2 linked regions of the Xenopus tropicalis genome follow. The protein of the gene in region 1 purifies or fractionates together with the protein of each later gene. This does not show direct contact. Links are inferred from orthologs where the notes say so. Each region holds a gene or a part of one and is shown on either strand. Other genes may lie near its edges. The genes, in order: atl3 and esyt1.

What was found.
Region 2: the proteins of atl3 (region 1) and esyt1 purify together in Homo sapiens (affinity purification with mass spectrometry; 3 studies listed by BioGRID and IntAct, with this or other methods). This does not show direct contact. The link is inferred for Xenopus tropicalis from reciprocal best matches to the Homo sapiens genes ATL3 and ESYT1.

The regions. Positions count from the first base shown.
Region 1 is NC_030680.2:36,371,453-36,376,063, reverse strand, and holds the start of atl3 (atlastin-3), read right to left. Parts: upstream 2,828-4,611; 5' UTR 2,816-2,827; intron 422-2,815; coding exon of another isoform or gene 420-421; coding exon 213-419; intron 1-212. UniProt on the Homo sapiens protein: Atlastin-3 (ATL3) is a membrane-anchored GTPase that mediates the GTP-dependent fusion of endoplasmic reticulum (ER) membranes, maintaining the continuous ER network. It facilitates the formation of three-way junctions where ER tubules intersect.
Region 2 is NC_030678.2:137,577,680-137,581,500, forward strand, and holds part of esyt1 (extended synaptotagmin-1), read right to left. Parts: intron 2,057-3,821; coding exon 1,922-2,056; intron 1,195-1,921; coding exon 1,121-1,194; intron 1,005-1,120; coding exon 932-1,004; intron 809-931; coding exon 719-808; intron 1-718. UniProt on the Homo sapiens protein: Binds calcium (via the C2 domains) and translocates to sites of contact between the endoplasmic reticulum and the cell membrane in response to increased cytosolic calcium levels.

The sequences.
Region 1 (4,611 bases):
TTGCCACCAAGTGAGGAATTCAAAAATAACTACCTGGTTTGGGGGCACTGGGGCCAACGTTCAAGGGGTTGGTGAGCAACTTGTTGCTCTTGAACCACTGGTTGGGGATCACTGGTTTAGAGACACATAGTCATAATAGAAATTAGTGATCTAAATCATCTGAAAGTAACTAGTGCAGATTCCTGAGCCAATTCAGTACCCTAGGATGTTACCTGGCTGTAGACATATCTCAGCATGAAGTCCAACAAGAATGATTTCCCTTTGCGGAAAGCACCTGCTACTGACACAACGACAACATCCAGATCACGAATATGATCCTGAAGTAGTACAGATGCCAGAGCTTCTTCATCCAGCTGGAAGGAATGGTCATCCTTTTGTACTAACACTACCTGGACCGGACCAGGTGCAGAAGAAGCCATGTCTGCATGCAGAAAACAGAAAGAGCCAAAAAGAAAGGAAGAAATGCTGTGTATGTATTTTATATTCAAACAACTCAGTAAGAACAAAATAATGCTATTGTGTACACAGGAATATACAGAGAAACATCATTACATTTTTCAAATGTAGTACTCTGTCTTAAAGAAGAACTAACCTACAAGCCCTGCTCTAACATACCAGTGCTGACAATGCAGTGTTTCCCAGCAATCCAACAATCCTCTACTTTTTGCCCACAATCACCAACCAGGAACATGTACATATTCTAATGTTGCCACAAAGCAGAGGACCAGAAGTCAAGCAGCCCACCATGCAGCACTGCATTTTCAGCATATCTGTATGATGGAGCAGGGCAACTCTGTGCTGGGGGTTGCAGGTTGTCTTTACTGAGGAGAAGGGGAGGCAGTGCACGGGAACCCAGGTTAAAGTTTGCATTTAGTTCTCATTTAAATATTAAAAATATAAATTTAAGACATATTAAATATATAGATTTTAAATAAATTTTTAGTCTGTTTCCTTTCTCACACCCGTTTCTCACATGCCAATCGTTTGCCATCCACCTTGTTTTCCACAAGCACCTTCAGGCACAGCATCCACCTGTCAATGCTCACATGGGGTGGGTTTTGCCCTGAAAATGCCCAACTTCGCTTTTCAGGCCAAAATCTGCCCCATATGCACATTGACAGATGCCTTGCTGTCAGTTGGTGCTGAAACACCAGATGTTCTCATGTCACTTGTGGCAGGTGTCATGTGTGTGTGACAGCAGCCTTTATCTTGGGTACCCTGATGCTGCTTTACTAAAACTGTCAGTGTTCTTTTTTTTTATAGTTTATCCTTTTATTTTTAATATAACATACATGAAACAAAACATCAAGAAAAGAGTAAAGAAAAAAATAAAATCGGAAAAAAAGGAAAAAAATTATATACCGTTGGATACAGTATTGCGGTAACATATTAAACATGTTTCAGTTTTGTTATGACAGATATACTAATAAATTAACATAGGTTTGGTTGGTATGACATAGATTACAGTTGTATGGCGCTAATCCATTCACTTATATTGTAGTAGGGTTGGAGGTAGTGTAGAGGTTTTTTAGGTGATTATTGCTTGGGGAGTTTGCTAGGGAATTAAAGTCATCCGCATGTGTAAGTTAGGGTATTGTATTTTATGCCAGAGTACCTTGTCCACCTAGGCCCGCCTCCCACCATGGGCTCCAAATTTTCTCAAACTTCTTTTTGGAACCTCTGGCTAACAGAGTAAGTTTAATGAGGGGCAGAACTTGATTTACCAGGGTGATCCAGTTTTGAACCGTAGGAGGTTCAGGTCCCATCCAAGCCATTGCAATGATTTTCCTGGCATAATATAGAAGTGTCCTATATCTGGTTCTAGCATAGTTGGTAGTTATTAATTCATCTAGGATTCCCAGTATGCATATTTGGGGTGTCAGAATTTTGGGGAATTCTAGTTTATCTGCTAGGACACACATAACCTCAGACCAAAATTTGGCTATTTGTGGGCACGACCAGGCCATGTGTAGGAAGTTCGCCTCTTCCATTCACTGTCAGTGTTCTTTAACATATAGTCAAAGGTAAAAGAAAGCTGAAAGTTGTAGTTGTAGTAATTAGAAAAGAGTATTTTAATGACTAGTGATAGCAAAAAGTAATTGCGTAGTACAGAGTACTTTTTTTTTTTAGCAAAAGAAAGCCAAAAATTCATTTTCTTTGCAAAGAAAGAAAAAATCTAAACACCTTTGTAATATACATGCATAAAAATGTTTCTGTTGTTTACAATTTTATTTTAAATGTGTTTTCACCTAAAAGTGGTATCTATATTCCTTTCTCTTTCTGCACTGCTAAAACAACACAGAAAATCAGTTCACTTCCAGCTCTGTTCCTTACTGGCTTCTGGCACATTGTGCGAGGAGTCGGAGCCAGCAAGGTGGAGAATGTAAACAGTCAGCAAAGTACCGCTTTCAATAGCAATAACTCTTATAAATAACTTATTATAGATCCTTTACAATCTGCATGTAATGAAGAAAAAAGGCAGACACTCTTGGGATTCAACATACTTTGTTGCAACCCACTAGAGTTTATATGTAAACACACAAAAAGTTATCTACAGTTATGCTGGGCACTCAAACAAACAATCTTTATGGACACCGACTTATTAGTAAGAAGTTACCTCTGTAATGGCTTTTATGCTCATGAATTGCTGTCACCAGCAAGCAAAAAGAAAGTTAAAATATTGCAAAGTATGAGCATGGCTTTTTCATTATACAGTGACAGAGAGTCAGAACAGACGACATATTATGTAATTCTCATAACCTATTAATGTCAGCATACAGTTCCCCAGAAATAAATGGTTGAAATTGCATTTTACCTCTTATAAATGTAATTGTATCAAAGCTGCAGAGAGACCCTCACTGTTCCGTGCCTGGCCTGAAATCAGGGCTGGGCGTGTCTTCACGTTCAGTCTTCCACAGGAAGTAGTCATAATTGTGAGTGACTGGTACAAATTCTGCAATAGCAGCCCAAGTCCCGCCCCTTGTCTTTGTGCTACTAGCCCAGTCAAAGTGGGTCACTGTAAATGAGGGTAGTGCAGCTGCAGTTTTGCTCCAAACTCAAGTGTTCTATTGTCTCACACTATCATTTGTTAGAGCTTCTCATTCTCAGCAATGTCTTTGGCTTTAGGCACATAGTACTGACAATCAGCTTTTCTCCAACAGTATATTCTCACAGGCAAGAAAAGCTGATACATTCCCATCCAATCCTTTTTCTTGGTGCACTGACAGTTCTAGTGTCAGTCTGTGAACGCACAGACATTTCGCTGCAGAAACACAATAGAATGCATTCACAAGGGTGAATGACAGTAAGCACAGCACTGAACACAGATGATACATAAACTGCGTTCCGTCTGCGATTGGCAACCCATGTGTGAGAGCCCTTATTTGCAGGTATTCTACTACAGTCTCCCATGGCAGTGTTCAATACAGCAGTGACTCAAGGAACACACTTTCTTGTCATTATTTAATTTGACATATCAGGAAGTGGCATTGTGGCTGCCACAGAAAAACAACTACCTTCAGTCTTGGAGAGAGACAGCTCTAGTTCTGTGACAGCTGGAGGGCCACCTGCTCACATGGGGTAACAAGTTTCCAATAGCAAACAAACACAGGTGACATAGACACGGGTATTAAAGCTGCCTCCTCACACCTGACTGGTGTCAGCGCTCATGTGCCAATCATATCTAAGTGGGGTATCCCTTTAGCTCAACTTTACTGGTTAGTGTCTTTATATAGGTACCAGAGGATGTGCGCAGGTCAGAATAAGAACAAAATTATATGGCCATCAGCTGTGTATCAGAGCCAAATTTGAAGTATGTACACCCCTAGGCTGTAGCAAAGCTCATCACTAACAATAGAATTGCGGTAGTGGGGACTGGAAGGGCGGAGAGTCAAATAGCTGTTTAGATCTTCTGTCTGCCCAATCCCAAATGTAGATGAGGCACGGTGGCATGCTGTCCTCACAGTCCTCCTGATGCCCTAGGCCCAGGCCTTTGTGGCCTTTCCACAAATATGTGCCTGGTGTCTATAAAGAATATATGGCCCTGGGTGGTGGCAACCTTGTATGAATTGCTCAAGTATACAAGAAGAAAGCATTTATTCAATCTGCTATCCTTTCACCCCAAAATTGTGCACTTCCCGTCTGACTACAGCACTGACCATCAGATTACAACATTTATAGTATTACACAAATATTCAGCAAGATATTGTGACAAAAGACAAAAGGTGACAAAAGACAAAATCACATACCTCACATCTGTCTAATCAGACTGTATGATTACATAGCATTGCACAACAGTGCATTGTAGAAAGGCACCAGGGCACTTAAAGGGAAGGTGAACAACAAGGCATTAGCTTAATAATAAGTAGAAGTCCATAATGATTCTGTTAGAGCATGCTGAAGAATTGACCAGAGATGCCTCTCCCAGACTTGTCAACTCAAACAGATACCTTGTCACCTGCAGTAACAGCACAGTCACCCACACTCAGTAATTCGTCCCTGAATCACTGCATTGCCCCCCTCCCCCCAGCCACTGAAACAAAAAATCCTCAGATGCAGTCAAAGCAGGAATTACAATCAGGGGTGTAGCCTGGGAACAACAGGGTATGGCCT
Region 2 (3,821 bases), on another chromosome or scaffold:
GATTGACACTGGAAGTGATGTCATACATTAATTAAAAATGTTCAATGACTCTACAGGTACTTGTAAATGTAATTGCTATAAAAAGCAAGATGTGTCTGGTTTATATATTCTCCACGCTGCTGGTTTTGACTTGTAGCAGAAGTCAGCTGTTTAACAGACCTGTAGAAGAAATGACTTCTGCTGCACTATTTTAACATTAAGGGCATTAAGGGTACATAGGGTGTTAGGTAAAAGAACAAAGTGAAACATACGCGGTGCGGCTACTTTCCGAAATAGGCCAAAGTTTCCTTGAGAGGCAACTCTGTGCTAATTTGCAAAGCCAAAGCAGCATTTGCAGATTAGTCGCCTGCGGTAGAGGAGATTCATTGAGGGGAGACTAATCGACTAGTGTGTCATTGCTCTTAGAAGCAGAACACAGAAAAGAATACACAAATACTGCTTTCGACCACAATTAGATTTACAAATAACAAACCGTTTTGGGTGGAGATCCCTTTAGCAGGACAAATGTTTGTGGTTTGATGGGTGTTTATGGTACAAACCTGCCCCAAAACTGAAACCAAGCTTTTTCTGCATATGTCTGAGTAAGTGTATGACAAACAATATCTACTACTATTATAATATGAAGAAAGGCACCATGGGAATGCAAGCCCTACATTTTATTTGTAAAGAATATATTTACATTTGCCGGCAACTAAGGCACCATTTATTAATCACCTACCGGACGACGGATGAAGAATAATGTCATGGCTCCAACAATAGGAACATCTCCAATTAGTGGTTCCAGGATAACACGGAGCATCCCATGCAGCTGTTAGAAAGGAAATTTTGTTTATAATTTATAAGGAAGGAAAAGAAATAAACAGTAATAAACAGAAAATGATTATTAGTGCACTGAAATGGGCTTTGCACATTACATCTGTGGCTCACATACCTGCATCCCCTTAATTCCAGCTTTGCAGAAATATTTCTTTACTTCTACATTAACTTCTATGTCACCAACATAACTACAGAAAAAAAAATGAATGCATTGCAGCAGGCAAAACAAAAAAATTACAGAAGAATGCCAGAATTAGATAACAGGAGAGTGAAGCACACATGCAGGCTATATTGTAACATATACCTGAGGTGCAAATCCAAGATTATCTGCTTCTTGTCAAATTCTGTATGAGCTTTCACTCCGGTTACCTTTGGAGCCTAGAGAGTAAATGAGGTGTTATGAGTTCAATATAACTGAAGAGTTAAAAGCTTGACATCTCTTACTGTCAATGGCACTAATTCTAGAATAGATCTTACACACATACAGATTTAATCAGGCCCGGGTTTACATATTGAGCACCTCAGGTCCATGTCTTGGCACGTCAAGCCCGCCACCCCCCACCTTCATGCCCAAAATTCAGTTGTCAGGTCTGGAGCAGTGGGGCTCAGTGAGCAGGACTCCTGCACTTCCCCAGTGCTCCGGACACAATTTAGATGCAGCTGGGTGGCATGCCACCCCTAAAGTCCTGCTGTGCTAGGCCTTGCCACAAATGCAGCCCTGGATTTAATGCCTCCTACAGATTGTATGTACAGATTGCAGAAAATCAGCAGTATAGGTATTTACCGGTACCTGAACTAGGCAGCTTTCTGAAGGTATAGGGTATAGTGACCCTTGAAACACTGTTACCTCTGTTCTACTTGAAGATCTATTAGTCTTACAAGGGTAACTACTCACTAGTACAAATGTGTCCAGTGTTGGTAAAACACATACTACAACTATTAAGCATAGGGAAAAAGGCCAAGTGATGCAGCCAATAACCAGTGTTTGGGGTCTTTTGTACTGTTATATTTTAAAAAAGAGTTCTTGTTTCCCTTGCCATCCATCATCTAACCATATGATGCAGGCTACTGTACTAATCCAAAGCATTAACATAACATTTCTTACCTTCTCACCAACATTGATCTTCGTGAAGTAGAATGTTGATAGATGTGTATTGCTGGCCCGGATTGTGGGTGCTATACTATCTGTGAGCAACTTCTCCAAATACTGTCCTATAAAAGGCCACATCTGCGCCACAATCTGAGAGAAGATTTAAAATAAAGTGCATAAATCTCAATTAAACTACACAGGCATTGCAACCTGTCTACAATTTTCCTTGTGCTTTCACAGGGGAAAACCCATGTATATATCTGCACAAGCATATTACAGGCAGCCCTACCTCAACCCTACAGATGTACACAAATATAAATGAAATGACTATAAACTTGCTCAGAGTTCTCTTTTGAGCACTTTAGTGATTTGAGCTGAACAAAAAGTATTTTTTTTTTTATTATCCCTTGCCCTAAACAAGGCAAACAAAGAGACTGAAGTTACTACATGCTTGGTCCTTGTGAAGTAGATTATTAGATTTCCAGTATACAACCCCCCATCACCCTTGGTTGTGACCAAGCACTTTTCATTGAAAAGTTGAAAAGGGATGTATACTGGCTCTTTAACAGCTAAAAAAAAATACAAAATTATGGTGAAACGATCGTTTAGCAAATTTACAATAATTTGATTTTTTGGTTTACAACTTTAAAGGAGACATATTGGATAAATGGGAAACCCCTAATTTTGTAGGCAATTATGAATAATATAAGGTGCTGGTTTCACTTTGTGCTAAAAATTAATCCAATCTGTAACAATGGCTCCCTATATATCCTATCACTTCTCTGTCCGAGTTCGAAATGGAGAGTGGGCGTGTCCTAACGGTCCCTGCCAGAAGCACAGTAGGGGGGAGAGCCAATCACAGCCCTGCACTCACACAAGCAAAGCCAAGCTTCAGTTCCCTATCAGGCTAGCCAAGCTGCTGATTGGTTCCTATCCTACAGTGCAGGGTACGGAGGGCTGCCGGTTCCCCAGCTCATCCAGAGAATTCAGCTAGCAGGAAGTGACACAGATGGGCGGGGCTAGTGGGGTTTGGGGGAATTTCTCAATGAATCAGTCTGAAATACAACTTTTTTAAGCACATTCCTTCTATACAGTGGAGGAAATAATTATTTGACCCCTCACTGATTTTGTAAGTTTGTCCAATGACAAAGAAATGAAAAGTCTCAGAACAGTATCATTTCAATGGTAGGTTTATTTTAACAGTGGCAGATAGCACATCAAAAGGAAAATCGAAAAAATAACTTTAAATAAAAGATAGCAACTGATTTGCATTTCATTGAGTGAAATAAGTTTTTGAACCCCTACCAACCATTAAGAGTTCTGGCTCCCACAGAGTGGTTAGACACTTCTACTCAATTAGTCAACCTCATTAAGGACACCTGTCTTAACTAGTCACCTGTATAAAAGACACCTGTCCACAGAATCAATCAATCAAGCAGACTCCAAACTCTCCAACATGGGAAAGACCAAAGAGCTGTCCAAGGATGTCAGAGACAAAATTGTAGACCTGCACAAGGCTGGAATGGGCTACAAAACCATTAGCAAGAAGCTGGGAGAGAAGGTGACAACTGTTGGTGCGATTGTTCGAAAATGGAAGGAGCACAAAATGACCATCAATCGACCTCGCTCTGGGGCTCCACGCAAGATCTCACCTCGTGGGTGTCAATGATTCTGAGAAAGGTGAAAAAGCATCCTAGAACTACACGGGAGGAGTTAGTTAATGACCTCAAATTAGCAGGGACCACAGTCACCAAGAAAACCATTGGAAACACATTACACCGCAATGGATTAAAATCCTGCAGGGCTCGCAAGGTCCCCCTGCTCAAGAAGGCACATGTGCAGGCCCGTCTGAAGTTTGCCAATGAACACCTGAATGATTCTGTGAGTGACTGGGAGAAGGGGCTGTGGTCTGATG